Rattus norvegicus: one gene and its partners. The protein of the gene in region 3 purifies or fractionates together with the protein of the main gene of each other region. This does not show direct contact. Links are inferred from orthologs where the notes say so. Each region holds a gene or a part of one and is shown on either strand. Other genes may lie near its edges. The genes, in order: Aak1, Ccdc6, Ralbp1 and Reps2.

What was found.
Region 1: the proteins of Ralbp1 (region 3) and Aak1 purify together in Homo sapiens (affinity purification with mass spectrometry; 3 studies listed by BioGRID and IntAct, counting the BioPlex papers as one, with this or other methods). This does not show direct contact. The link is inferred for Rattus norvegicus from reciprocal best matches to the Homo sapiens genes RALBP1 and AAK1.
Region 2: the proteins of Ralbp1 (region 3) and Ccdc6 purify together in Homo sapiens (affinity purification with mass spectrometry; 3 studies listed by BioGRID and IntAct, counting the BioPlex papers as one, with this or other methods). This does not show direct contact. The link is inferred for Rattus norvegicus from reciprocal best matches to the Homo sapiens genes RALBP1 and CCDC6.
Region 4: the proteins of Ralbp1 (region 3) and Reps2 purify together in Homo sapiens (affinity purification with mass spectrometry; 3 studies listed by BioGRID and IntAct, counting the BioPlex papers as one, with this or other methods). This does not show direct contact. The link is inferred for Rattus norvegicus from reciprocal best matches to the Homo sapiens genes RALBP1 and REPS2.

What each region holds. Positions count from the first base shown.
Region 1 is NC_086022.1:120,989,508-120,997,105, reverse strand, and holds part of Aak1 (AP2-associated protein kinase 1), read right to left. Parts: coding exon 7,556-7,598; intron 6,286-7,555; coding exon 6,175-6,285; intron 4,470-6,174; coding exon 4,359-4,469; intron 3,535-4,358; coding exon 3,440-3,534; 3' UTR 1-3,439.
Region 2 is NC_086038.1:18,523,016-18,531,381, forward strand, and holds the start of Ccdc6 (coiled-coil domain containing 6), read right to left. Parts: upstream 4,213-8,366; 5' UTR 4,092-4,212; coding exon 3,810-4,091; intron 1-3,809.
Region 3 is NC_086027.1:112,910,332-112,917,929, forward strand, and holds part of Ralbp1 (ralA-binding protein 1), read right to left. Parts: intron 5,081-7,598; coding exon 4,731-5,080; intron 3,018-4,730; coding exon 2,856-3,017; intron 1,732-2,855; coding exon 1,600-1,731; intron 1-1,599. UniProt on the Homo sapiens protein: Multifunctional protein that functions as a downstream effector of RALA and RALB. As a GTPase-activating protein/GAP can inactivate CDC42 and RAC1 by stimulating their GTPase activity.
Region 4 is NC_086039.1:35,923,070-35,930,667, reverse strand, and holds part of Reps2 (RALBP1 associated Eps domain containing 2), read right to left. Parts: intron 5,213-7,598; coding exon 5,129-5,212; intron 2,953-5,128; coding exon 2,807-2,952; intron 1-2,806. UniProt on the Homo sapiens protein: Involved in ligand-dependent receptor mediated endocytosis of the EGF and insulin receptors as part of the Ral signaling pathway. By controlling growth factor receptors endocytosis may regulate cell survival.

The DNA of each region.
Region 1 (7,598 bases), on a different chromosome or scaffold from region 3:
TGAAGGCTTCTCTAGAAATTGCCCGTGGCTGTCACATGTCTTCAATGGTAACTGCTCTTCATCTCGCCCAGTAGTTCTGCCTTTTGGAATAGCTCAATCTTACTCGAAGGCAGAGGCGTGGGAGAAACACATAAGAAAGAATATGCTGGGAGCGAGGCTACTAGGAAAATGCAACCACGTCCTTGCTATTTTATCTGGTGATGTTATATCTAAAAACGAGAGTTTAAACAACTCAGATGCCACTGGCCTGCCAAGGGTCACCATTCACTTCCCAAGCAAAATCAGATGGTTCTGGAGGGAACATTCAGTTACATGATTTATTTCTGATATGTCTACTTCAGAAATCATTGTAACGATTAAGCTACTTAGAGGTGAACATTTTAAAATATCTCCTCTTGAGGACCATATTTTCAGAAACTTTGGGAATTAGGTTTGGTTTTCTACAGGGAATACCAATTTGTGATATTTTCTGGTACAGTAATTACTTCTATTCATCAGAGAGAAGATCAAATAAAAAATGTGCATATGGTATTTGTCCATATTTTAACAACAAATCCCTGATTATATGATTAAAATAATAGAAACCTCTGGATTCTGTTTTACTGCAACAGGTAAGGTTGTGTGTACCCAATATTACAGTAGGAAAATCTATCTTCAAGCTTTTGATGATGTGGGCTTTTATTCAGGTAACTAGCAAGTAGCAATAAGGTTATAACTGCTCATTCTAAGTCTGAGTAAATGCTGAGGAAAGCTGTAGGAATGGTAGGAGCACAGAAGCTACCTGAAGGACATCTGGATTGTACCATCCTTCATAGTCCTTCTAAACCAGTAGCACAATGTTGCTAGGCTTCTGCTGTCTCACAGAGCACCTATCCAGATTAATTCTGTGTAAACAGCCAACAGCAGCTCTGAGGAGTAAAATGACTGTTCAAGGTCTTAACTGTTAAGGTCTGGATGAGGTCCCAGAAGCCTGAGCTGCCCCAGCCCCTTCTCTTACCATCCTGCCTTTGCCAGCTCTGAGGCATACCAGTGAGACAAAGTAAACGGGCTAGCGAACAGGCGTGCAGCCCTCTTACAGTTCAGGCTTGTTCCACGCATCTCCAGTTACCACACACAATGCTCTTCTCAGGTCACTCCCTCAGCTTAGGCTGATACTGATCTAAGGAAGGCTGCACTGACCAAGTCACTAGAAAGTATTCCTCAACAGAAAAGCAGCTCTGCCCACAGAAGGCTTATTCTTGAAGACCAGCCCAGTCTCTGCTGTCTCACCCAGGCTTCAACCATCTTCCTTGGTAAAAGTCTGTGAGTTTTCATTAGTGTCTCTATTAAGCCTTTTTGAGCCAAATGACTACACAATATATCTCAATATAATTATGCTTGACACACGGAAGAAAGGTTTAGAGACACTTAACCTAATTTCTAGACTGCACTCTTCATAGCTGCAATTAAACTGGGAAAGTAGACATTTCATTATATTGCTAACGTTTGTATGAGAAAAAAAACAAATATGAAACACAGACCTAAAACATCCTTATTTAAAAATAAACATTTCCTTCATTAGTTTATACATTCTTTCTATGTCCAGGAAAGAGGACACAATCATTTCCTGTCCACCAAGGGGTTAACCAAGTCCTGCTTCCCTCAGCCCTCGTGTGGAGAGCTCCTCCGTGATATCCCCATCCTCGCTGCACACCGCGTCTTGCTTACTTGTGGAAACATCTCTTCTATCAGAGGCCTTTCCTCAGCTCATCTAGGTTCAGCTGGCACAGGAAGTATTTAAAGTCAGAAGGAAGACTGAGTGTCCACTCTTCCTGCTGTCACATTGATGGAGACAACGGTGGCCCTCCAGAGGGCAGTGTTTGCAGGCTCGTGCTGCTGGTGGTTCCCCGCCACTTAAAGTGCAATGTGAGCAAGAAAGAACAGCATCATGTAGAGAACACCATGGGGTTTGGGATTGTACAGCCCTGATGAACTGAGAGTCCCCGTCCAACCCTGGAGGATGGCACTGGAGGAAGGGAGCTCCCTGTGCCTGCTCCTCTTCTAACGGGTGATTTTTACCAAAGTGCTCTCCACACACCTTGATGTAAGTACACAGGGGTGACCAGGAGGCATGTTGTAGAGCAAGTGCAGAGCCTCTATTTAACTCTATAACAACAGTCTAAGGTTAGTGAAGAACTATTCTTTGTTTGGTCTTTGAAATCTAGGAAGCCAAGGAAAGCCAGCCGCACATATTTCATCAGCTTCAGCCTTCGACTTAAACACCAGAGAGAAGGTAAGCAGCCAGCCGAACTGTGCCCGGCACACTTATTTCTGATGATCTGAAAATAAACAACATGCCCGGGTATACAGAGACAGAGGCTGCTGAAAGCTTCCAGCAAGACATAACTCCACCACTCTAGGACTGCTATATGGTTATACACAGGAAAGAGCAAAACCCTGTACAGACATCTGATGTCAGACTTGAAATGCCAAGTGGAAACAGAACTATTCAGCATCTTCATTTATACACAATTTACAATATTTGATTCAAAATAAAAAAATCACAAGAAAAATACATCTGTTTCTGCTACAATTCCTTCCCTTCCCCTCCACCCCCCATGAAAAGTCTTCTAGTAAAAGGTATCATGTTCCCACCACTGTCTTGTTTTGGTCTGATTCTGAGATCCCAGCTTGGGCCAGGTAACATGGAAGGATGGCAATGCTTGGTGTTTATATCACATACACATTTATTCAAGGATCACAAACACTTGCAGTCACACCTCTAGATTTGAGAAACCACGATTCAATGGAAGCCAGATAGCTAGACAAATGCCAAGAAGGCTGCACATGGGGTGTAAGATCCCTTGGCTCAAACAAGGTCAAAGTTGGCTGGCTAGAGCTGAGCTCACTTTCTCTTCACAAACACATCCTACTGGGTCTGCCCTGTTGAAACTGCATGGCCTTCTCCAGACTTCTGCCTGGGGTGAGACCAGCCATAGCTGCCCTGTCCTCATGAGTGCATCAGGATAAAAAGCAGGATGGACACACATTCATCAGCATCTGGGAGACGGGCTACAGGACTGACACGGGGCCATTCCTAGCAAGAATGAGACAAAAAGTGTTCAGCACAGGCTCAGTGACAGCCAAGCTTCTGTGAGTGGATTCCAGCAGAGGTGAAGCTCAGGGCGGTTAGCGCTTGAGTTAAGATAATGCTATTGAAGATGGGGAATGAGAAAACACAGCACACTAACGAGAGGAGCTGGCCAAGGGATGGATCTGGAGGGGCAGAGATTTTTCTTTCCTTATCATTTCTATAGGAGAAGGAAAGGGGTAGGAGAAAGGAGCTTGAGGGCCCCTTATTTGCAGATTTAAAAAAAAAATCATTTTTCTCATAACTCCGTAATGAAAATGTATATTACGGCATGAAGGTTACAGAACTGTGTCTGCTCCTGGCTCACGGCTACAGGTCTATGAGCTGATCCACCAGCAGCAAAGACCTGGCTAGGTTGGGAAGACTGGACTCAGAGCTCCCACTGCTGTTCCTAGAGTGCCCACCTGGAAGCGGAAAGACAGGATTCAGTACAAAACAGAGGGTTAGGGTTAGATGTGCAGAGCAAGCGAAGGAGAAAAAGGAAAACAAAGAAACTCAGAGAAACAATATCTCATATTTAAAACGTCTTACATGTTGATTTCTAAACCTAGCCACCGCACCACCACCTCCCACCAACATCTTCCTCCATGCCCACCGCAGTAGAGGCAGCATACCACAGAGATGCTGCTGGCTCCAAACGACATGTCTGCCCGTAAGTTCTGGCTGCCATGCTAGCCTCCTGCCAACAGACAGCCATCTCTCACAGGGTAAACACTAGTTTATGTTGGGGAAATCAGCTATCAGGGTATTGTGATATGAACATGCTTTCCAAAGTAAGTAAGTGGTGCGTTTGGTGTTTTGTGCATGCTCTCATGGCTCAACCTAAGGAAGGAAAGACATGTTCCATAATGTCCACAGAGGCAGAAGATACCAAAATGCCACCAATAGCTCTCTGGGCAGAATCTGTGTCTATCACATATTTTCTAATTATGATAAAAATGCTCAACACTTCTGACATAGGCCTCAGGCTTCTACCAACCAGAGAGACTTTCTTTTTGGCTTGACATTTCATAAAAACTAAGCCTTCTCTAAATAAATCCAAGTCAGTGAGGTTTAAGCTACAGAGCAGCATCTCTACCTGCCTCACATGCTGGTCCAGCCTACACTGACTGCCATCATCCAGGGTCTTTCAGCAAATGGTGATGCTCCGGTTCACCATGCAGGCTAGGGCATTGCTTTGCTGAGAATGGACGTCAAGCTCTTCTCTTCTCTCCAGCCTCTTTCTTACCTTGTGTGTTTTTGGTTATCAGTACAGGAATAGGGTCAAACTCATCTTCTGCCACCTTTTCGGAGCCCTCAGCGACACCAAACCCTGAGATGAGATTACTATCTTCTGCAGCTTAATATAGAATACAAGCACACAAGCAAACAACAGAGGAAGAGATTAGCAAATGAGAGAACAGAAGGAGGCACCAAGCCTAAAGCCATGAACAACCACTATTCTTAAAGGTGAAAGCTCTTATTTTTGTGAATTGAAATAAAAGTTGGAAACAGGAAAACACAGGTGTATAAAAGTAAAACTTTAGAATTTACAACGTTAAAATTTCATACATAACTAAGAATTCTCCATTGTGTAGAGATCAAATGGTTGTGATGTGTCTCTGCAATGTTGATATCTTTATTGAGTCAATAGAGGCCTGGCTAACAACACTTGAAACACTCAAAGGAGAAACTGTAGAGGCCGAGGTATGGTTCCGTGGCAGTGTGTGTGCTAGCAAGTGCAAGGTCCTGTGTTAGGTTCCAGGACCCAAAACCAACAATGGAAGAGAAGTAGCCAATCTGTACAAGGCAAGCAAAGGCTCAGAGTCCCTGTTCTGTGAAAAAAAGACTTTTCCATAATTCTGAATGCTGGGTCACAAAAGCACACACATTGAGACCACCAGCACAAGTTTCTTAGACTATCCCCTTCTCCATTTTTGGGTTTGCTTTTTGTTTTGGATTTTGTGTTTTGTTTGTTGTTGTTGTTTGAGACAAGTCTTACTCTGTAGGCCTAGTTGTCTTGAATTTACGGAAATCAGCCTGTCTCTATCTCTTGGCCTGGGATGAAAGGCAGGTGCCACCATGCCCAGCATGTTCTCCACTCTAACTAAAGCTGGCCCCAGCAACGCTGCCCGAGCACCGTGTGGCAGGCAGTGCTTCTCTGTGGTTACACATTGCTACCGCACATCCCTTCCAGCCATCAAAGTCCACACAGGTAACTTCCTGTGCCAACCCTAAAACAAAACCAGCCATCATCCCTGTGACCCATGAGCTCTGTTTTCAGTTAGCTCTGGGCTTTCTTCTTGAATTTCCTTTAGGAGGAGCTTAACTTGTTCATTTTCCAATACTTCTCCAACACAGAAATAAAGCTTGCTATGGGCAAGCAAGCTATAACCACAACAGACCTCAGAACTTAATCCAAGCTAGGCTGCCTGCAAAATCTCAAACCAGATGAAGCCAAAACTAAGAAGTGAAAATGGTGGACCAGAGAGAGAAACCCAGTAATCAATTATGACTCAAAGGTGAAATAATATTAAAATGTTCACAGCTCAATTTTTGAGGAATGATTTTTTTTGAGGATATTGTTTCTTTACACTTAAAAACCTTGAATCAGATTTGATAAAATGATTTTACTTTTTTTCTTTTTGTTTCGTTTTTCAAGGCAGAGTTTTGGAACTAGTGCTATAGTTCAGGCTGGCCTTGAACTCACAGAGATCTGCCTGCTTCTCTGCCTCTACCTTCTAAGTATGGCTATGACTTTACTTTCTAAGGCTAATCAGTTGGCCCACCTATCCACCTATGTGGTTGGTCCTTAAGGCACGCGCTCCCAAGGGTAACATGGAATGTATGTATCCCAGTCCTTGTCAGAAAGCCATCCTTGCACCTGTCTGCAGTTGCTTATTAACTACTGTGAGAGGACCGTAAAAGACTACAAACCCATCTTTTCTACAGAAATGGACAGTTTGAACACTTTATTAACAAAGACTTTTGATAAGGGAAGTCCCCAGGAGCTGTTCAACTCTTCTGCTCAGGGATACATGTGGGTCCAAAAAGAAAGACTTTACCTTTATGAGTGGAAGCAGAGAGTGCTATGGGGGCAAACTCGTCCAGAAGGTCAGCAGTAGGGTTAGAAAGCAGAGAACAGTCAAGGAGAGAGTCTTCCCCCGTGAGAGAGTCTGAGTCCAGTTACCAGCATTCCAGGCAACGATGGCATTAAACAGCACACAACAATATTGTGAGGTTAGAGCTTGACTTTCAAATTATTGCATTTACAGGCCATATATACAAGCCAAGATACAGAAAGAAAATCAAAAGAAACATGTTAAGTTCTCTGGACTTTTAAGCACAAAAACATGTATGTATCCTAGATTCCATTTGGCAGTAACACATACGTATAGATTTTTAGCTTAGAAACTGTTCGTTAAACAATAAACGAGTCTGTGATTCAAACACACTTCTCGGTAGACACTGTTTGGAGAAAGGACTTTGAGGCTAGAGTCTCACTTAACTTTTCCACTCAGGAATCACACTGACGTGCTAACACTGGTTCCCCTTTGAAATGCCTCTTGCTACTTTCTTTCAGTAAAGAGTTGGGGAAAACCCAGAGATAAAACATTGGAGTGTTTCCTGGAGAAACATCCAAGTGAGGAACAGGAGAGGCCCAGCTTTGATTACCATCACATAAGGGGCACCAGCAGACAGTCTTATATCAAAGCATGAGGACTCAGACAAGACTGAAAGACTCAAAGCAATACTGGGTCCAAGGATGATTTCAATGTTTCCTGCAAGCTAAAGAAGAGTCAACTCTAGAGGATGAAGCTCTGATGTGGGAAAGAATTGTCAACAGGAAGGGCTGAGCTCCACAGAACCAATGCTGAGGACATGCCGAGGCAGCCATTTGTCTGCGCAGACTCCTGCTAAGAAGGCAGAGGAACCTGCTCCCAGTGGAGACAGTCTTTTTTCCCCTTTCTGGTACTGAGGATTGACTAGACCTAGGACTCTGTGCATGCTCTGCAAGCACTCTGTCACTGAGCTATATCCTCAGCTCTGGGCAAAGGGTAATGAATAGCAAATTCTGTAATCAGGGAGTCATTCTAAAGAAAAATATGGCTCCAGCTCTCTTGCTTTCTTGCTCTTAATCTGTCCTTTCGTCTCCCCCCCCCTGCCCCTCCCTCTCCTATCCTCTCAACTCCCTTCCCCATGCCCCGAATAGACTCTATTCCATACAAAAGAAAGAAAGAAAAAAAGAAAAACATGGCTCCAAAAAGTATTCAGTTCATAAGCACAAGGATATACTCTATATCCAGAAGCAAGACTGTAAGAATAATTCATAACATCCACTATAAAACCAACGAGAATGCAAATAAACAGAGGTTCATCTGCCACAGGTGGGAAGCCCTGCTCTGAGGCTCCTGCACTGACCAGCTCTGCAGCTCCCTGACTGACCTGTGCGGTTTGAAGTCACAGATTCCGTGTGAGATGGGAGGCG
Region 2 (8,366 bases), on a different chromosome or scaffold from region 3:
CTGGACTAACACACAAACACTATGTGAAGGAGTGACTAAACATTTGGTTTGTGTTTATTTCCCACTCATAAAAAAACCAAACCAAACCAAAGCCAAACCATCTATAATCAGTAGCCTGCCTCCGCTGCTGACTTAATGGGTGAAATTGGATAATCCCTCAGATCACTCTCGTCGCTCTCTAAGGCCCAGATACAGTACACTGAAGACTACCTCTGACCCCTCCCCTGTGTGATGGACCGCCCGAGAGGCCTGTTCATTCTCTCTCTCCACACACAGGCTTCCTCTCACTTCAGATACTGAGAAACAGACCAAAGGATCCACTCTTCTCGAACTGGGAGTCGTGGTGGGAATGAGACAGCTATACCAGAACAGACAGGACAGCTCAATGGCTAGAGCCTTGATCCTCACCGTGGGAAAAAAAAATTCCAACTATGAGGCACCACTATAAGCCTGAGAAAGATCAGAGTCTAGGAAGTTCGGGACCAGATTCAGTGAGGAGCGAGGACTCTTCTGGGCACTTTAGAACGGGGTTTGGGAGTTTCTTACAAGAGTAAACACAATCAATTACCACATAACCCGGGCAACCGTAATCCTGGGTATTTACCCAAATGGGCTGAAATCTTCTGTCTAGACAAATGGATGTGAATGCTTAAGGCAGATTTATTCACAACCGCTAGAACTTGCAAGCCAACTAAGACGCCCTTCAGTAGACAAACGGTCACATGCGAGCCCTAAAAAGAAACACGTTCAAAAAACAAATAAATGGATACTGTCGAGGGTCAGGGGATTCGGCGCCTGCTGGAAAAGCATGGAGACTGGGTTCCGATTCTCAGAACCCAAGGAAAAGCCATCAAAAACTCCATGGGCCTAGCAACACCAGCTTGTAATCTCAGCCCTTCAGAAGGTAGAGACAGAGGAGCCCCTGAGCAAGCCGGCTAGCTACGCCAACCTCATCTGCAGGCTGTGAGAGAGACCCTGCCTCAACATAGGAGGTAGAAGACAAGTCAAAGAACAGTGTCAGGCTTCCACAGACACACGCGTGTATGCCCTATTCGAGCGTGCACACATGCACACGCCAAAGATCAGGAGGGATCCTTCCTTCGGTCCGTTTTACCAGGTGTGACAGAGCAAACCCACGTGACATCCCGAGGGGGGGGCGGGCAAAACAGTTTCCAGGTCTTATGGGAGGAAGAAAAAGAAGGAGGGCTAAGGGTTACCATGAAGACAGAATTGTGCTGGGTGATGTGTTGATGCCTTCATCCAAGGCCTTAGAATATACAACTCCAACTGTGAGACCTAATGTCAATCACAGACTGTGGGTACACGTGGGTCCCTCGACACTAACAACTGCCCCTCTCTGGAGCTCTGGAGGCTGGTGCTGGAAGAAGTTGTGTCTACAGAGGGCATAGGAAGCGGGCGGGAGAAACTATGTTAACTTTACCATACGCCTAAACCTATTGGGGGGAGAAAAGTATATTGAAAGTCAATACCCTTATAGTGTATCTTATCTAAGTACAGACGTCATCACCTGTACTGGTCATCGACACAAAAATGAATTATCATAACTAGAAGAATAACAAGAGTGAAGAAAGCAAGAAACAGGATGATGCCCTTACTCCTCTGCCTGTCAAATTAACTAAAAGTCTGGAAACCAGCAGAGGCCTGGATGAACTACCTTATCCTCGTCAGAGCCTTTCCAGTTGGGTTTGTCAGGAGGTGCACACCTTGACGCTGCATGGATTCTCTGGACTTAAGGCAGTTCCAGAGGCGGGACCCCCACGCCCGAATCTTCACCCCAGGTGAAAAGCCTCGCCAACCTCTTTCCTGCCCTTGACAATTAGCCCCTTAATACACCTGCCAAGACTGAGGTACCCAGGTGGGCCGCTGGCACTTGTAAAACTCTGAGGCCTGCCCCACACTTGCAAACTGTCAGCTTGAACGATTTAACAACCTCACCGGATAGGACTTGAGAACACGTACTAGCACGAGGGCTCTGACTGGAAGTTCGCTGTCGTTCAGAGCGAGCAGAAGAACCAGAGCTTTCCCCACCTCACCCAAACATGTTTGTCCCTGCAAGGCCAGTGTGTCTGTGTACAAGAAACAGACCTACTTATGGGTCAGCAGGTCAAACAGATAACCTTCTCAATGTTTCCTGTCTCCACACAAAAAGCAGCCTGACCTGATGCTCTCAGGCACAGAAGAGGCTAGAGAGGTACCCCCTCCTCCTGGGAGGTCTGTTCCCTTCCACTGCTCCTTCTCTGCAAGAGACCAACGCTGTCATTTATGACACGTTTTCAAGCAGTGTTCGTATACATCAAGTTTCAAATAAACGACCTCCACTGTCCCTCTGTTCCTTCAACCACAACTCTGCTGAGTCCTCTTGCTTAGCCCAGAAAAGGCTTAAGTGGTCATCTCCACAAATGCCTTTCCTTGACTATCAAAAGGCCAATCCAACAATTTGCAGCCTGGCGATGTACGCTCGTAGGTCCAGTTCCACCAAACCGGGGAAGAGCAAGAAAGATACCTCTACAAAACCAGCGGCTATTCAGGTTGTAAATCACACTGCCTCCCTAGTGGAGACCTGCTATCTACACAGACCATGAAGCCATGAAGCCAGGCAAACACACACACACACACACACACACACACACACACACACACACACACCCACCACCACCACCACCACTTTTTCTTGGCACAAGGGCAGCTTAAATTTGTCCCGTTCTCGTCTCCAGGATGTGATCCTTGACCCACCACCCAATTTCTTTTTCTCTCTTAGAAGGTTCCCGTCTAATCAGCTGCACGCAAGCGGCTCTGACAATTTATCCTCCTTGATTTCTTGACATTTTCTTCCGTGCTGCTGGCTGGGAAACTGTTTTGATCTGAATAGGGTTGTCTGTGGGGGATTCTGCATGTTAATGATGTGGAGTTGGCAAGGAGGAGAGGTGAGAGCACAGCGCGTACTTTTTCTAGTTACGTTTCGCCTCATCACCGCTTCGGGGGCCTTTCCACTCTGCTACACCAGGAGGCTGAGCTCAGACTAATCTTGCCCTCTTCCAGGGGAGCCTCGCGGGGCCAGGTAGAAACAGAACAGATGGCCTGTGTTCCCGTCAAGTACCTAGACTCACAGGCAAGTACTCCTAAGACTCTCGAACCAATGAAGGAGATGCACGTAAATCCTTGCTCAGCCAGGCAGTCCCAGCGGCCACCCTCCATCATGGTTTCAGCTCCAACCCTGTCCCAGTCAGCGCCAGACGTTACACTCCCCACTACTCGGTACCCGCCCACCCTCTGGGCCCAAAAGGACAGGGATTCCGAACGGGGTGCTAGTGTAGCCTCAGTGCCCGCCCTTCCCTTTCCATCCTGGCCAGAAAACTCCACTTCCCGGATTCCGGGCCACTCTCCCTCCCCCTGCGCTGGCGATCCAGCAAAGAGCCGTCCTCCTGCCAACTGGGGGCCCAGCCCAGTGGCACACCCCGTCTCCCCAACTAACCCCTAGGCAGAACCCAGCTCCGTCCACTCACGGGGACTCGGAGAGGGTGTCCCTCGATTCAGAGCCTTCAGGCACCCTAGGGTTGAGAAAGTCCCACCCCGCCCCCCCAGCCACGCCGCCAGCCTCCAGCCCTGCCTCGGAGGGGCCTCCACCCGGGGCGACAAGGGGACGTAGGGAGTCTCCCCAGGCACCTCCAACACCCTAAGGGAGGGAGGGCGCTCGTGGACCCCAAGGCCGGCTCCTTGTGCCCTCAGGCCCGCAGCCCCGCACGGGGGCGCGCACTCGGGGGTCCCCACGATCCGCGGGGTGCACTCACGATGGTCACGCTGGCTTTGCGCAGGTCGCGGTTCTCCTCCTGCAGCGCCTTGCACTTGAGTTTGTAGGTCTCCAGCTCGATCTTGAGCACCTTGTTCTCCTGCTGCAGCGAGGCTAGGCGGTTGGTGAGCTCCTCCAGGCGGAACGGCGAGATGACAATGCCCCCCGACTTCCCGCCGCCGCCCCCGCCGCTGCCGCCCGAGGTCGCCGAGCAGGACGACTGCATGGCTGCCGGGCCGCCGCCCGCCGCGTCCGTGTCGCTCTCGCTCGCGCTGTCCGCCATGGCGGGGCGAGTGGGCGCGGGGAGCCGGGCGCGGGGAGCGGGGACGCCAAGGGCCGGGCGCGCGGCGAGTGGGCGCGGGGCCGGGCGCGCGGCAGCGGGGGAGCGGGGGAGCTCAGAGCGCGGCGCGGGCGGGCGGCAGGGCGCAGACGCGCGGCGGCGGCGGCGGAGAAAGAGAGGGCGCTTCCCGCGGCCGCGCGAGCTGCTCCGCCAGGGAACAGAGACCCCGCCCGGACTCGGGCAGTACTGCAGCGCCGGGGCTCTGGCGCGCTCCGCGGGGCGGTCCCCGCAAAGCCCCAGCCCCAGCGCTCGCCTAGCAGCTGCACGCACACCCTCGGGCCCGCGCTGCCTCTCCGCGCACGTGCTCCCGCCCCAGAGGAGCCCCCTGCGGTCCCGGGCCCCAGCCCCCCTCCTCCCGCCGCGCCGCCTCTTCCGGAGAAAGGCGGACCCCACGCCGCGCCAGCCCCGCAGGTGCCCGGACACGTGGGAGGGGCAGCCAGGCTCCTTGGTCCACCCCACCCTCCATCCCTGGCGAGCTGGAGCCTAGCACCTTCGGTCGGCGCCGCCGCGCGTGGATCTCCCGCTGGGCACCCCGTGCGGACGCTTGCTTGGGGCTGAGGACAGAAAGTTCCCCTGCAGTGAACCGAGAGTGTCTGTCTGTCTGTCTCTCCCTCTGAGTGTCTGTCTCTCTCCCACTGAGTGTGTATCTGTCTCTCCCTCTCTGTGTGTCTGTCTGTGTTCCTCCCTCAGAGTGTGTCTTATCTGTCTGTGTCACTCCGAGTGTGTCTGTCTCCTTCTCTGTGTGTGTATCTGTCTGTGGGTTGCAGCCACAGGTTAGCCTAGCTTAAGAAAGAATTTTGCAGAGGCGACCAGGCCCTGGTGCGTCAGTTGTTGGACCCAGGCGCACCCCCCGTCCACCCTTTTTTCTCTTTTCCTCCTGCGAAGACTCTGCCTAGGTCACGGGAATAGGATTAAGAAACCGAGATTTGTCTAGTCAAGAAACGGGAGCTCCCCCCACCCCCCAAAGGGGTTGAAACACATTTCAAGTACCAATTTTCCAAAGTAACTGCAGGCACAATGCTAAACAAATGGCCACGATTAAGTGAGGGGAACTGTATAACCATTATTACCTACGGCTCTCCAACTCCTACAAAACTCCAGGAGGTAAAAAATAAAACCGTAATTACTACTGTAGAGAGCCAGCTTCAAAGAATCAAATTCAAACTCAAATACTTTTAGGCTCCTCCCTCTTAGGAGGGCTCGCAGGAAACAGGCCTAGCAGGTGAGAAAGGTCTAAACACTTCACCCTTCTGATACAAAACAGCTTTCTCTTCTAGGTTTTTAAAAAAAAGAAAGAAAGTGAAACTAACCAGACGGGTTTTATTATCCAAGTTTAGTCAACGGAAGAACAAACTCATGGAAACAAAATGCAAAAAAATAAATAAATAAATCGGGGGAAGGGAGGTGAAAAGTGGTTTCTGGCTGTCAACTGCTCCTGGAGTTTTGTTAAGTGCTTAGTATGTCTACCTCGCTTTCCTGGTTCATAACCTTGTCTTTAAACCTACATTCGATCGGGCGCTTAGGCTGTTTCATCCCACGGCTAAACAGGAACTGGTCTCACCTCGGAATAAACTCTTAACCTGCCAGGGGTGAAACCTTGACCTTATGTTTACCAAGATGGCTGCTTCTAGTCAACAACTCAGAAATGCTAACTGCGGGGAGCCCCCCAAACTTCTCCTAGGTCCTCCTAGGGACTTCTTGAACACAGTCGGTGAAGCAGAATTTAACCATAAAAGTTAAAAGTCGAGGTGGGGAGCCTTTGGCATTGCTCTCCAGAAGCACATCGCCAGTGTAAACAATTCTCTGCTGAGGGAGCCACTTTGTCACTGAAGTTTACTTGGCTCCTTGACTTTGCCATGTTGGGTCTGGGACAGGAGACACTCGGCTCCTTGGGTTACAGGAAGCTTCTGGAAAAGCGACTCGCGGGGTGAGGTGGATGGGGAAAGGCCCGGGACTGGGATTTAACTGCATTCTTTCCGCTTTATTCAGTGCAGTCTGGGGTGGGCGTGGCTTCCATACTTAACAAGTTTCTATTGTTCTTTTCCCACCCCACCTCCAGACTGCGGGGTTTGGAGGGCTTACGGCCTGGGGAGCATTCCTTCTCGGGGGTCAGGGGGGATTAGCTCCCTCCCGTTTATCTCGAAAACTAACTGCCTTAGGAAGCCGACTGCAGGCTTCCAGTCGGCAGAGGGGTGGAGTTAGAAGTCACTGGTTTTCTTAAAGGGCCCGTGTCAGGCTAAGCTTGAGAACGCCTTGGTCTTCCTTAGGGGAACTACATTTTGACATGGTATCTGTAGTTAATAATCGGTTTGAGAAGATATTAGAAAAAAATTTCATCTTCTGAAGCTTCCCTGCTGATACAGATGAGGATAAATTGGAGGATCCCCCGCCCCCCCCCGTTCTGGTTTTTATTGTTACTGCAAAACAGAAGCACATCTAATTTTCTACTTCTTGTAGAGCTGATTCCCCTCATAAACAGACGATTTGTCACGACGCTGGTTCTGTAATAGCATTACAATGGAAACACCAGATACAAAACGGATCGGATCAGTATAAAACTCCTCTGCTTTCCAGGGGAAATGAATCAGAGGGTAGATGCTAGGCTGAGTTCCCTGGAGGAAGACGGAGCAAAGGAAGATTAGCACCTCTAAGGCAGAAATAATGGAATCGGCTTCACCCTGAGCTTAAGTCACAGGGTTTATGGGTAAAATAAAGGGTGCCTTGCTGTTGAGGCGCGAGGGGACACCTAAATCTTTGTTTCTCAAATACAACTTTTGCCTTTTTGATTTGCTGGGTACCCTTTAAACCTTCATGTTCTCAATGAAGACATAAAAATGGTGGAGTAAATCCTAGGAGATTTTTGTTGCTTAGTTGTAACGACCGTGCGTGTGTGTGTGTGTGTGTGTGTGTGTGTGTGTGTGTGTGTGTGTAATATGTCGTCATACATCATTGGTTCCTTCACTAGAGGATCCACACAACTTCACTCAAACTCTCAGTGATTTGGTGGATCCAGAACGCACTGCTAGAGCCTTGAAAAGACTTGAAGTGGACCAAACGTAGGCTGGCTAGAGGAATGCGTTCCCGTGAGGCAGTCCATTCAAGAAAGATAGTCCACACCATTTAGAGCCTGTGTCCGGCTCCTGGGCCCGAGTACTGGCTGCATCTGTAATGGGATCCGATGCCCTCTTCTGGTGTGTCTGAAGACAGCGACAGTGTACTCATATAAATAAATGAATATTTTCTTTAAAAAGAGAGTTGTTCTGTGTATCAGCACGCCCCTGTTCTGCCTGTTCCTTGTCAACTAAAAATGTCTCCAGAGGTAGCCAGGACTACCTTCCCCCAACCGCACACCCACTGCAAAAACAGTTGTTCTACTAGAGATAGAAGAAGAAACCCCCGAAATGGTGGAAGTGATGTCATTAAGCACTTCCGGCTAGATATGCTCAGCAGGTATTAAGTCATACAAGTGGAATTCAGCTAAGGGAGCACTGACTCCAGAATACCCCAAGGGATACGTAGGGTGCTAACCTAGCCTGATAGATAAGGAAATTTTAGCATGCCAGGATGTAAACGTTTCTGCACCAGGGTTGACCTCCACTTAGTCTCCACTCCTATAACCAAAGGAGATAACCCTGACTCACCAGCCATTAGGCCCATCCCCATAGCAAAGCACATACCTCCAAGAGTCAGCTCAAGGGGTCAGCACAGGGTCACAGCTACCATTAAGCCCACTCTGCCATTAAGTCCCCTGTGATCTTATCAGGAAAAGCGTAATTCTGCCAAGTGGGCAAGATGACCCTGGCAAACAACTGTTGGGAAAAGAACCACGTTGGTGTCCTTAAGAAATAATTCTGGCAGCACCTTTGCTGTGTAAATAAATCTCCCATCTGCCCAAGTGGCCAGAAGTGCTTACTGCTGTCGTTTTTCAACTGTCGGAAGTGTACACTGGGGCTGGATGATGATATTTATGCGATGTATCTGCCTGAAGAGTATGTGAAGTGGGTGAAACCTTCTCTTCACGGTTGTCTCCTCTTTGGGCCAGACAAACTTGATAAACAACCGTTTTTTACTAATATCTAAGTGTGCCAAGTGACTGCCCCTTGGAAGGCACATTCAATCTAGAACAGTAGAGGAACAAGAAGATTACTACTTGGGATGCTTTTAAACCGGCAACCCATTAATGCCATAATGCAGAGTCACTAAGGACTGTTTTCTCCC
Region 3 (7,598 bases):
GTCTTTAAGTAAGTTCTCCCTCAAAAGTAAAGCCAGCATGAAGGAACCTGGGTGTATAGCTAAAAAATAAGGCAGCAAGGGGAGGGAATGGTCGGGGAGAGACTACAACTGGTAAAGGGAAGAAGACAAGACAGCCATCTCTTGTCATACCCCCACACTGCTTCTGAGCTCAATACCAAAGTTCTGTGTGTGTGTGTGTGTGTGTGTACACAAACCTGTATAGTCATGTACTTGTGCACACATGGGTAGAGGCTAGAAGTCATTTGTCAGATGTCATTCCTCAGTCAGTTCTCCGACTTAATTTTGAGTCATGGTCTCTCATGGAGTCCTCTGCACTGGCTGGCCTTCAAGCCCAGGGCCCTCCTGCTGTTCCAGTGCTGATCATAGGCATAAGCCATGACACAAGCACATAACTCCTAGGTGTGAGTGCTGTGGACTGAATTCTGTTCCTTACTTTTGCCAAAGCAGGCACTTCACCAACTAAGCCATCTATCTCCACAGCCGTGGGCCTTTGATAACAGACACACAACTAAGAGACACAAAAGGCAAACATCTACCTCTGTCCTATGGCAGGGACCCTTCACGTAGGGCTGCTGGACAGTGCAATCTGCCCTGTGAAACTCAGGCACACGTCCAAAGCCAAGCATGATGTCCCGAGCCTACCATCCAGCACATGCCAGGCAGAGGCAGCAGGATCAAGAGTTCAAGGTCACCCTGACTATAGAACCAATTTGAGACTACTGGGCCACAAGAGAGCTTATTAAAACAAACATACAAACAAACAAACAAACAAACAAACAAACAAACAAGAGGTCATAAGACAGGAAACAAAGGGCAGACCATTAAGTGAGCTAGAGAGAACAATAATATGAAAGGCTTCCTTCCCAGGCTACACATCCTGAAAACTGGGTGCGGTTATGCCAATCTTAGACTTGTCCCCTCAACAAGCACTCTAACCTCAAAGCAAAAGGCCTTAGGTGCCTGTCGCCTCAATAACCCACTACTCCACTCTCCAGGTCTGAGAGGTGCTAACTAGTGTCTGTCTGTAGGCTGTGCTACTCAAATCTGCTGCTGGATCTGCATGTGGCTTGTAAGATCTTTCAGGGTGTGGAGTTTAGCTTTGATGGCTGAAAAACTGAGTCCAAACGCAAGCTTTACACAGCAAACTAGCATAAAACCAGAAGTGGGCCTTGTGCCCTCCCAGCACAGCAGCCACAAGGTGAAGTCTCTACAGCAGGAGCCCTCCTGGGCATCAAGCCCTGAATTTCCATTCAAAACTCAAATTTCTGAGCAGTCTCTCTCCAGAGGTCTCTCACCCTTACAAAGCTCTGTTCAGACACAAACCAGGCAGAAATAATAAAAGCGATCAACTTGTAATTAAAAAAAGAAAATTCTTTCTAAACTTAATTTGATTTATACCATGCTAAAGTATGAATGACATAGAACAAAAAACATTTGTGTGAATAAATTTCCCACCAGAGAATTTAACGCCAACAGACAGGTATGCTCCTTTTAGAAGAAATAACTTACAGCAGTGTATAGAGGGCTCGGCCACACTCCCTGCAGATTTACTACACAGGATATAAGAGAATGACTCACTTGTCTTTTAGCTTCCCTCAGCTTTCTCTTGAGGGCAGTCAGAATCCTCTGTACTTCCCATAATCTTTCTTCTTTAGACAAGTCCTTTATCCCGCCCTGCAGATCTCGATGTAAACAGTTCAAAAGGAACTCCTAGATAAGAAAAAGACACAGAAGCTGCCATCTCACTATCCGACAGCAGCTCAGTTTTCATTCTGCATAGCAACAGCAGCAACTCCCCGCCCCTGCCGACCTCGTACGCTCTCCCATTGGTGATACGGGGGATTAGACCCTCATTCCATTATTCACCCACATTTTTGTTCCTCCTCACAGTAACTGATAAGTAGAGCTCAGCCAACAAGAAAAACAGGCTTGTGGTAATAGTCACACAAGGCCATCAACCGCCTCAAGGTTTTACTCAAGTCTTGAATTTCTTACCAGTCAGTCTGTCTCTCCATCCCCAACACACAGACACACAGACACACACACACAGACACACACACACACACACACACACACACACACACACACACACACACACACAGGGTAAATGATTAAATATCCCTAATTTCCAGTATCTGAGCTGTGAAGCATGAGGGGTGAGGGCATAGAAAAGCAAACATGTCTGAGATCAGCTGTGGCTGAGTCCTTCCCATGTGTCATCTCCCACACTCATCCCCTGAGCTGATCCACTCTAAAATGAGAACACCAAGGTTTAAGGATGTTGAACAATTTGTCTAAAATTAGCATGTCAAGAATGAGCAGGGCTGGAGAGAGGGCTCAGTGGTTAAAAGCACTGACTGCTCTTCCAGAGGTCCTGAGTTCAATTCTCAGCAACCACATGGTGGCTCACAATCATCTGTAATGAGACCTGGTGTGCACTCATATATAAATTAAAAAAAAAAAAGAAAAAAGAAAAGAAAAGAATGAGCAGAGTGGGAATTTAAAGCCTTATGCTATTCCTACCATGGCTGCTCACTTACACCATATGAACTAGGACCAGGTAGAAGTGGAACAAGAAGAGCATGTTCTTCATGCCCATGACAGGAGCAGAGCTCAATGGACAGGTACTTGCATAAGGCCCTGGGTTCCAGCCCCAGCACTGCACAAAACTGGGTGTGGTCCCACAACCTCAACACACAAGAGTCATGGACTACACACAGGAACAGCTCCCTACTCCCCAAGCTAGGGTTCACCAACCCATTCCATAGCCCTTTGTGGGCAGCACAGAACCAGGCAGGGAGGGGCAGGGAAGGGGCAGGCAGGGCAGCACACACCTGTCTCCTGATTTCTTCCTTGATGCCTGCTTGGGTCTCTGGCAGTGTAGGCATTGTGGCCATGTTGGACCAACGCAGAGGTCTCGTTACTTGCTTCAGGACCACGGTGCCAAAGAGCTCTTGCACGTGTGTGAAAAGCACATACAGGACCCGGTTGCTGATCTGCAGAAAACAGATTTAGTGTTGCCTAAGACCATGGAAGTGATCTCTTACCTACCTTTATCAATCACACTGTGCATTAATTCTGGATGCCATGACATCTCTATAGGAGGGACCAAAGATGCTTCACTAATTATCAATTTAAGAGCACATGAAAGCCCTGCTTAAGTCAGGTTCTCTAGTACCAGAAGGGAAGAGCAGTAAAGGACACGAAATGCAGTGCCACTGATGTGCACTCTCCCGTCGTCACCCACTAACTGGACTTAAATACCTACTGGTCACTTCCTATGTACTCTGAGAGCTTCTGTACACACAGTGACCTTCTGAAGAGGTTGGCACCTCTCCGGCACACACGCAGCAACAGGCTCCAGGATGTCCCCGTACTGGGAAGCCAGAGCTGCAGGATGGCTGAACAACCAAGAGAGGACATTTTTTCCTGGCTCAGACTCCCTTGTTCTTGGAGCTTCTGTTGAACAAGCGCTCAGGTTATGGCAACACTGAGTAACAATGCAGCACTGACCAAATTCCAAATCCAGGCTAACAAAAATGATCATAATATTTGGGAAATATGAGAAAGTTTTTAAAATATTAACTAATAACTAATGAAAATATCTTTAGCAAAACAAAGTATCCTCTTATAATAGAGCATAATGACATATGGTCAGGACCCCACATACCAACCAAAAAGAGGACTTTAATTAAATATTAGAGTGGTGCACACCTTGGGAGGAAGAGGCAGGAGGATATCTGAGTGGGTTCAAGACTAGCCTGGTCTGCAGAGTGAGTTCTAGGACAGCCAGGGTTACATAGAGAAACCCTGCCTCGGAAAACAAACAAACAAACAAAAAACAAAGAACAACAAAACAGAGTCACTGTCTCCTTTTTTCATCCGTCCCCCCCTCTCTCTGACACATAGAATATCAGCTCTTCTAAAGACTTTCTTTGAGGAATCAACTGAGTAGAGTGTGACACAGGCACCGTAGGCCAGGAAGATAGCGTTCGTCATGCAAACATAGAGACCTGAGTTCAATATCCCTAATTCACCTTAAAAAAATGTTGGGCATGGTTGTGCACACCTATGCAGGGTCCCTGAAGCTTGCCGGCCAGCGAGGGACCCTATATAAGAAGAAAGGTGGACGGTTGGTGCCTAAGGAACAGGAACAATGTTGTCCTATGACCGCCACATAAACATGCATACATCTACATGTATGGCTACACACACGCAATTCCCACATACAAACATGAACACACATATACAACAGGATGCCAGATATGCATGTGAGTAAAACGAAAACACAAGCAATGTTCCACTTAACTCCCTAACTGACTTCTCAGACTGAGAGGCAACACAGCACCTCTCTCGGGATCCATCGTACAGGTGAAGTCCTCAGTCAGACCTGCCAAGCAAACACCACAGCCCTTTGTGCTTGATCCAAGCAGGTAGCACATTCACACTCCACAAACTATGCTCCTATCTCTCCATGGTGGCACTGCCCACACATGGCCAGAGAAGATCTGTGGTCAGGCTGACGCAATATCCTCCTTGGAGTCACTGTTTTATCTGCGAGTCAGCCACAGACATGTTCTCTAATTTCCCAGTAACAGCACCAAAAGAGTGTGTGTGGACAGGACCCGTACCCGGACGGTTACACCCGTACCAGGACGGTTACACCCGAACCCGGACAGTTACACCGAGTGCGTGTGGCAGCACCGTACCTGGACGGTTGGGCTCAGCACTATGGAGATGTTCTGGATGTTCATCTTGGTTTCCAGCTCCTTCGCGATGACGTGGTCCATGTGCACAATGAGCCAGGAGAGCAGAAGATGGTTGTACTCCGGCAGTTCCCTGAGCAAGCGCTGGAACTCCTGCACTTTCTCCACCTCTGTGGTCCTCCCACAAGCCTCTTCAAATCGGGGCATAAGCTCTTTGGTAAGCAAATTCTCGGGAAGGTCTCGCAGATACTGCTTCAGCAAGCTGGCTACAGTGTTAGGTTCATATTCTTCCAAGTTTGGAGACTCCTCTCGGTCATAGGCTGCTTTCAGCTCATCTACCTTTGATTTGATTCCTTAAAATATTAAATTTAGGAGAGAGAGAATATCAGAATCAGACACACTCCCCCCCCCACCATACACACCTGCCGCAGACACAGGAGCCAGGCTAGGGCATGTGCCTGTGACCTCAGCAGCACTAGAGGCTGAGGCAGGAGGACTGCTGCCAGTTCAAGTCGGCCAGCCTGGGCTACAGTGAGGCCCTTCTCAGAACTAAGCTCAAATCCTCCTGGTAGAATCCGTGTCTGCAGATGAGTCACAGAACTCTCTATGAACACGGCACATAAAACCACAGCTGGAAACTTAACATTCCCAGAAACCATGGAATATTAAGAAAATGTTTAATCCAGGAAAAAATTTAAATATAATGTAAGTTAGATGAAAATTCAGGGGGAAATGAAGCTATAATCTGAGCACATACACTATGCACAGAGAGCCAAGTTCCTGAGACCTCAAGACGGACACCCAAAAATGCAACTGTCACATGCAGCCGTTACCAGCTGTTTCTCTGTAAATAAGTTATTCCAAATGCAGAACCAAGTTTCCTAGCATAACAAGCTTGTGGAAAACTCTTCTCTATTATATAACACCCACCTAATTTCTACTTTCAAGTTTGAATTCTTTTTTGGTTTTGGTTTTGGTTTTAGAGACCAGGTTTCTCTGTGTAGCCCTTGTTGTCCTGGAACTCCCTCTACACGAGGCTGGCCTTGAACTCAGAGAGACTGGCTGGCCTCTGCCTCCGCAGTGCTGGCATTAAAGGCATGGGCCACCACTGCCTGGCCTAAAGTCTGAATTCTTTAAGTGCTTTCTTAATCTGAACCAAACCAAGCTAGAGCAAGAAAATAAAGTCAAGCTTCTAAAATACAACCATTTGGTTTTCATATTTGAGTGGAAAACACATGAATCCAACACACCAAGTGCACGCTTTTCAAACATCTTATCAGACTTCTGTCTTCAGTCCCATCTGTTTAAGTGACATAATCCAGTGACAGTAATCAAAACAGCTGCTTCTTTTAAACTTAAAACTACAGACCAACTACATACAACTACAAATTAAGTCTACTGTAAACTGTCATCTCATCTGAACATCTTAATATAATGCTAATATTTGAAATGATACTCCCATCTTATGTACAAACCTTCGATGAATGGCATTATTAAAAATCTGTACCTTATCCAGATTAACAAATCTTATTTTGGTGATCTTTATTTTAAGATAGAAAAATTTCCATTTCTTTTTTTATGACAATCTGAATAAAACAAGATTAACAACAACTATCGCTGAGACTTCAGTCATTCTCTTGCCCTCCTTGTCCCACCAGCTCTTGTCCCCTCACTCTCTTGCTATGTTGTTGATCATGGCTTCTGCAGATAACACCTCACTATGTGGCCCAAGCTGGCCTTAAACTCACCATGGAGCCCAGGCTAGCCTCAAACTCACAATCCTCCTGCCTCCTGAGTGCTAGAGGTATGAGTGTGCTCCACCATCCACCTTCCATTTGTGTGACTTATAAAACATTTACTACTCCACCACAGACAACCAAAACAGGTTGTCAGTATTATTAAAATGTTTGTCTTTGGGGTTGGGGATTTAGCTCAGTGGTAGAGTGCTTGCCTAGCAAGCGCAAGGCACTGGGTTCGGTCCCCAGCTCCGAAAAAAAAAAAAAGAAGAAAAAAAAAATGTTGTCTTTTAAAAACTGGAATCTTCACAAGGAATTCCAGTGAGAAATAGAGTAGTATAAAAGTAATTTAATGTAGAAAATATTATGAAGCAAATACAGATGATATTTAGATTGTCCTTCATACTAGCATTTGTTTGCCTTTTCACTTATCTATAGGTGTATACAGGTATCTATAGGTATATATAGGTATCTATAGGCATATATAGGTGTTCTGCCTCGTATGTCTGTGCACGAGTGCAGGCCTAGTGCCCAGAGACCACAGAGGGTGTCAGAGCCCCTGGAACTAGATTACAGATAGTTGTGAGCTGCTATGAGGGTGCTGGGAATTGAAGCCGGGTCCTCTGGAAAAGCAACCCCTGCTCTTAACTGCCAAGACATCTCTCTGGCCCCTTTCATATTTGTTTTTAAATTGGAACGGATATAAATGAGAACCAAACATCTCCAGAAAAAAAGGTGCCATCCAATTGGCACCAAGTAGCAAGGCCAGGGTCGGGGGCTGGGCTGTCTGAGTGACGGAGCCCTCGCCTCGCATGAACATGGGCCTGGGTCAGATCCCATACAGACAAGGAGGGCAGAGGGGAGACACAGCTACACAGGCAGTGTGCCATGCTGGCTGTCAGTCAGTGTGGAAACAACTACTGAGCGCTCGCTCTCACAAAAAAGAGACATTCTACTAGGAATGATGAGGTTCTGCACAACACACAAATATCAAAATAGATCAGAAATGAAAGAATTCTTTGAACAAACCTACAGAAAATTTTCAAAGAAACTTTCATTCCTTCCTAAAGTCTTCATACTTATCAAGATCAAGTGGGGAAAACAGCTTCTATCACTGTATAAATCTTCAAAATTC
Region 4 (7,598 bases), on a different chromosome or scaffold from region 3:
TTTTTAATAAATACTGTAGGGATAGCTATATAATTACCATGTCAAATAATGAATTTGAACCTCATCTTCCTATGCGATACAAAATGAACTCAAAATAGACCATAGGAGTCAGAGTTAGCTATAAAGTGACAAGACTTTTCTAAGTAAATAATCTTTGTGAACTTGGACTAGGCAGCAGTTTCTTAAATATGACAATAAAAATATAAGTGCCAAGCCAGACATGGAAATGTCCACTTTCAACCCCAGAACTTGGGAGGCAGAGGTAGGTCTTTGTGAGTTCATGGCCAGACTGTCTACAAACTGAATTACATGTCAATCAGGGTTGCAGAGTGCAAACACACATACATACACACACACAAAAATGTAATCTTGGTGCTTCAAACTATACAAACAGAGAGAGAGTGAAAAAGCAACAAACAGAACAGGAGAAAATAATGTATCTGTTTTATATAGTCTATATATTTGTCTATATATATTTGTTTTATAAAGACTATATAAAAGAACCCATGACTCAACTATAAGTGGTAAAGGATATGAGTAGGTATTTATCCAAAACTATATTCCAATGGCCAATAAGTATAAGGAAAGATGCTCAACAATATTAATCACTAAAGAAATGCAAATGAAAACCGCAGCGAGATGCCTCGTTACAGTCAGTAGGATGGATGACTGCCTAAACATGACCTGAAAAAAGATGACATGCTAATGGAGACAGGGAAAAGTTCACACAGCCTCAAACCTACACAAAGAACTATAGGCAATCAAGGAATGCTGAGAGCAAGAGACGGTCTCCAATACCAAATGGTCGGCCCTAAAAACATACATACCAGTAACATCATACAGACTGAGCAGGTTGTGGTTATGTATTCAAGAATGCTATATGAATGTAATAATAGTTAATGAAAAAAGAGGCCATGAATCTGAAAGAGAGCAAGGTGGGGGCACATGGAAGGGTTTGTAGAGAGGAAAGGAAAAGAAGGACTAATGTAATTATATTATAATCTCAAAAAATAAAAAATATTTTTACAGAAATTAGATAAATATTGATGAAGAAGTAGAGAACTAAATTCCTCATACATTTTGAAGACGTAAAATGGAGTGCTCACTGTGAAAAGGAATCTGACACTTCTTCAATGTATTAAACATAGCATTATGACATAAATCCAAATTTTACCCATATATGTATTCCCAAGAAAATGAAAACACAAAGTCCACACAAAAACATGAACACAGATAACACTACAGCATTGTTTAAAATGTGTAAAAAGGTCAAACCACCCAAAAGTCTGATTGGTGAATTATTGGATAACATGTGGAACATCAATAGAGTAGAATAGTATTTCCCATAAAAAGGTAAGTTCTAGTTCATGCAATAACATGGATGAACCTTGCAAACACTAACGAAAGTAAAAGATCAAGCACAAAGGAGCACATGATGCATGACTATATCAATGTAAAATGTAAGCAGGGTAGAGACAGGGGATAAATTAGTGGTTTCCAGAAGCTGGAAGAGCACTTGGGGAACAACTTCCACTGGGCATAGAGAATCTTTTGGAGATAACAAAAAAGGTTGCAAAATTATAGTGTGTAGTGATGATCACATGACTTTTGTGAATATACTAAAAGCCACCAGAGTGTATGCTGTGTAAATTATATTTCAACCAAGCTGATTTAAAATAAAAAAACAAAAAAGGGAAAGCAACATCTCTCTGTGTGAAGTTTACCAGATGCCCTGCAATCTACCTTGGACGGCAATGCGGCTACCCGTGACTGACTGGAATTAACATGAAGCTGAGGAGGAAGAAGGCAAACATAGCCATCTTTGTGCCTAACAGAACTCTGTCCTGGTTAGGAAGGTGACAACAATGCAGAAAGTCACTTCCCGTACTGCTTGATGGCTTCAGGTAACTATCCCTTTGGGGAAAGAAAAATCCTCTCAAGAAGAATACAAAGAACCCAAATGGAACCCAGCTTCTACAGAACCTGTCGCTGTTCTTTCCACAATAGTGTAGCAGAAGGAAAGCTACAGAGCCCGTGGGACCTGAAAGGGCTCGACAGAAATATCACAAGTGAGTTCAAATACTTGCAATGCTGGCAAGCAAGGATCACTTCAAGTCAAGTGACAGCACTGGGGTTTTGCCCTCAATATTTCACCTTATGTCACTACAGAAGGACTGAGTCAAGTAATAGATCTCAAAGACAGCCTTCTAAGGAGGGTGGTTTGTCCAAAGCACAAATGTCTCAATCCTTAGTCCTGTCCATGGTGTCCCCACAATTCCTCCAGTATCTGTTCCAGATGGTGAGGGGGTATTATGGAAGATCTGCCTGCACGATTCAGTAATGAGCTGACTAATAACGAACTCTACCTGAAGATGTTTTAAAATCATACCCTAATTCTGCTGAGAACTGAGACTATGATCACTGAGTGGGCCATGTGCCCTAAAGGAACAAATCAAACAAGATCAAACAAGAGATCATGAGATGAGGGGAAATGGCCCTTGCCATATTGACTCCTTCATAGGAAAATCTGGGCCAACACAAAAAGGGTTAAGAAAGAAAGAAAAGAGAGAAACTAAACACTCGCCTAGGACTTGCCTGCTCCTTTGTGTCAGGCTAACAGGAATATAAAGTCTACTATCAGATTGGGAGCCTTTAATGCTGTCACCGTCGTCATCATCATGACAGAGATGACTATGACAACCATTAAACCCTGTGGCTAGGAAAGGGAAACAAATTAACAAGCACATATGCATGCATATGTAAGAGGAAGTTCCCCACATTCTTCACTCATCTTTTTGCCACTTACTTCTGTACTGTTGGATGGGGTTTCACCATCGCTGCAGGAGCTGCCCCTCCAACTACAGCAGCAGACTCTTGGCCTTCTGTAGTTTGATTTTCAGGTCTGAATTTCCTACGAATGGGCTTTGATGGAGGCTGAGCATGTGGTACATCCTGTGGATTAAAAAAAATCAACCCAAAACATTCAAAAACTTTTTTTAAATGATCCCTCCGCCTATCATGCCACTATTCACAGTTCTGTGACCAAGATCAAAAAGACCTCTATTCAAACTGCACATCACAGACATGTAGGTAATACTTGACTAGTGCTGGAGGCTGCTGGCAGTGAGTCCCAGCAAACAGCCTACTGTCTGTCTTTTTAAAATACACTGGGAATCTACCACTCTTGTTGTTAACAAAGAAGGACACCAAAATAAGATTCTAGTGACATAACCCTTGTCCTTTTTTAATGTTGTAAACAATCTATATTTTCTTGTCATTTAAACTTGTCACATAGTCTTTATATAATAGCAGTTCTTAGCCTTTGGGTTGTGAGCCCTTTGGAGGTCACATATCAGATATTCAACACCTCAGATATTTATATTACAATTCGTAACAGTAGCAAAATTACAGTTATGAAGTAGCAATGGAATAATTTTATGGTTGCGGGTCACCGCAACACAAGGAACTGTATTAAAGGGTCGCAGCATTAGGATGATTGAGAACTCCTCTTTTATAACCACAAGGTCTATTCTAATTGAAGACAAAACTGACTCTTGCCTCACTCTGGGCCTCTTTGAAGAATATATTTTAAATCTGTAATGGTCCTAACCATATGCTCATCATTCTCTTACTCCTGATCCCTACATGAAGTCAAACAAAAAGACAGTGTGTTCAAGGAAACAGTTGACCTGCTTCCTTAGGGGACCCCATGTTACCTTTCAAACCCAAGGTTCACTTTCTTTGCTAAGAGAATGGCCTAAGGGATAATACCAAAGAACAAAAAGAGGGTGAGAAAGTAAACGAGGAGCACAATAGTGAGTAGTACTGACTGTGAAGGGCAGGGGCCAAATGACATGGTCAGACTAAGGCAAGGTGTCAAGATTTGAGAAAAGATCCTGGCACAGGTGGGGATAAAGAAGGGGAGAACCAACACAGACTAATACTTATGGAAATGAGATAGTGAAGTAAACTGCTCTGCATGGTAACTTTAAAAACAAGAAAACAGCAACAACAAAACAGAAAAGAAAGAAATCATGGTACCAAGAAGGGGAGGCGGTCCTACCCACAAAGGGTACTAATGGGGTCTTACTGTTACCTGGGGGCATTGTCTGAAACTAGATGGTTTCTAGATTCTTGCTGAATTTCCAAATGAGCACATGAATGGTAAAGCAGCAAGAAGCTCGACTGGAACAGACCATACAATCTGCCCCATTGGTGGATAGTATTGGATACACTGCAGAACTCAGTGGGCTATTGGAATTATATAAGCCTTTTCCTCACTAAGCATGTCCTTTCCTGTGACATATCTCATTTTAGTCATATGCACACCCAACCATTTATAGACATAAGATGGTAAATAGGAGGTTTTCCTTAAAACTTCTTGCAGAAGATATAGTTTGCCTTAACACACACGCATCCAAAACTAATTCAGGCCAGAAGGGCTCTGTGTCTCATCCCTGATATGTTCTGGGGCATTTTCAAAGGAAATTGACCACAAATGTGTAACTACTAAAAGGCAGGAGTAATTTGTGCCATTGTTAAGTAGGGTATGCATGAAACATGATACAAGTAAGGGTCCTAGGTTGCTGGCTGCACTTTAGGAGAGCAGTGTGTGCATATCTGAAATCAAGTGGAGACCAAAGTAGCAAAGCTATACCAGCTACACTCATCTGCTTCATTAACAAATGTATGGAGGCTTACCAAAGTCACCCAGCTCTCCCCACATTTTATATTTAATTTTATATGTTGTGTGTATGTGCACCATGTGTGTACAATGAGCATAGAGGTCAGAAAGTAGAGTGCCACCATATGGGTGCTGGGATCTGAATCCAGGCCCTAGCTATGCAAGAGCATAAAATGCTAAGTCATCTCTCCTGCTCCTCGAAAACATTTTTTTCACCTTGCCAAACACAAGGCACCCATGTTTAGTTTTAAGGTTGGAGAGACTACAAACTACCAGGGATATCCATGGTCCAGCCCCAAACCTTCAGGATTCTAATCTTCAGAAAGAATTTACAGTTCAGAATTGTAGATCGGTCACATTCATCTTGGTGGAAAATTTCAAGTTTCTGTAAGAAGCCCAGGGGTCTTTAAGCTAGCACCGCAGCCATCTTTCTGCTGCTCTTACCTTCTTTGTTGGACTGCTTTCTGCAGCTTGGGAAGGAGCTCTGTTCATCTGAGGATATAAGTCAGCTTCAGATGCCGGTTCAGCCTGTAACAAGGTCAAAGAGAAGGTATATATGCAAACCCCAACTGTGTAAACATATGACCAAGAACATTTCGGAAAAGAGTCACTCAGGGAGAACAAGTCACACTGGTCTAGACCAAGCTGCAGACATGCAGTTATCCTTGGGGAAGATCTTCCACCACAGACCTCGCTATTCCCTTCCACGTCTCCTTCCAGTCTAAAGAAAAGGAGCCATGAGTATCTCACATACAGATTTCTTAAAAACTGACACTTTACAAAAATTATCAAAAAAAAAAATACTAGATGAGAAAGGGTTAGGAAAATGACTTAAAGAGTACCGAGGAAAACAATCAGTACCATAAAAGACCCATAATTTTAATATTAAAATCCTAGTAAAGAAATACTGTATGGGCTGGAGAGATGGCTCAGCAGTTAAGAATTGCATTTCCAGAGAACTGAAGTTCAATTCTCAACACCCACACCAGACAGTTCACAACCCAGCTCCTAGAGTTTAGATGTCCTCTTCTGGCTTCGACAGATAGACAGACAGACAGACAGACAGACAGACAGACAGACAGACAGACAGACACACACACACACACAGAAATACACACACAAATCTTTTAAATCTTTTAAAAATGAAGTACTCTAATAAACATAGCCATTTACCTTTAAAAGGAAAGGAGGTATGTAATGGCTGTAGTGATCAGAAAGGCTGACTATTAAGTCTCAAAGACTGATGAGGGATACCCCCAAGCACTTCACGACATAGAACACAGCCAAGTGGAACACAGGGTAACGGGACTTACATAAGACTCCCTGTGTCCCTAAGGCTGTGTACCTTCAGCTGTGGGAGAGCCCTTTGCTTTCTGCTGCTATCAGCCAATGATGCAAAATACTGACAGGATGAATAAACCAGCTGCTTATGAGCAAAGTGACTTCTACATTTCACTGTATCAGGCCTTCATTTGCCTGAAACTTCACAGCACAAAACACTCAGATTGTAGCGCAAACAACTGCCACACTGCCCCTTGCATGGCCATCTCTAGCCTCCTACAGTGTGCCTTCTTTCCCATAGTGCTACTACTGAACAGACTGGCTCCCAGGGAGCTAAGGTTAGCAGAGCCTGGTTGCCTCTTATACTCTCCTCATTCACCTCCCTTCCAAAATGGTATCCCTGGTGATCTCAGGTGGTGGAGAAGTGACACTCTCCAAATTGTAATTCCCCTCTCTCTCCCTTCTCTGCTTTGACTGTTCCTATTCTTGAAATCTAGACTTTTTTGGGGTTCTCTGCCTTCAGTTCTCCTGCCCCAATTTTTCCCCTGTTCATTCTTTCCCAAGGTAGAATACCATCTGTTCCTGAGTCTTACTTATTTTTCATTAATATATTTATTGTGTGTGCATGCATGTATGTGCATGCATGTGTGTGCCATGGTACATTATGGAGGTCAAAGAAGACCTTTTGTGGGAGTCACTTCTCCTTTTTCACCATCTGGGTTGCAGGATTCCTGCTCAGGTTGTCAGCAACCACCTTTACCTACTGAGCAACCTCACTGCCAAATGATTTATTTACTCATTTTGCAGTGCTGGAGATTGAACCAAAGTTTCATATGTGTGAGGCAAGCACTCTTACACAATATATCTAGTCGTTGTTACTCCATTTTATCCTGAACAACTCCCTTCCTCGTTTAACTCTATATACAAACGTTGGACAAGCCTGGTGTCAAGCTCCATATTATTTCTCCCAGCTTATCCTTCCATTAGAGATGGCTGTGTTACTCATGCTGCTGCTGTTGCTATGATTAGACTCTAGGACAAACTGAATTCTATGGATGTGTCATACAGACCTTTCATAAATTATTATATCACATCATCATAGCCTTAAGAAGTAGTGATTATCCCCAGCCTGCTGATGACAAACTTAAAGAAGTCAAGAAACTCACCCCAAGATCATACAAATAGCAGGGTCTGAGGCCAGGTTTCGAGTTCCAAAACTAGCTTGTTACCATGGTCTCAAATTCTAAAGCTAGGCTTGTTACCATGGTGCAATACATCCTCAGGCACTCAAAGGCCTCAATATTATTCCTGCAAGGCATGACTTATCAAACAGCTACTGCTGGCTGGCTATGCTGGCTGGCTATGCTGGCATTCAAAGATAAACAAGGATCAGCTCTACTTACAACCATCTGGCAGTCCAGTGGAAGAGCTAGATAAATTATCAGAAATGCATGCTTCAGCATAGTATGGTACAGAAGACTGGGATTATAGGAGCACTCATTCTTATAGGACAGTTAAGTCTTAGGTGACATTGCAGCTGAGGTCTGAGTGAGACGTAGTATACGGTCAGCTAAAAGAGATATATAAGCGGATGAGGAGAGAGGTAGGTCCAAAGTAAACTCACAAAGGTCTA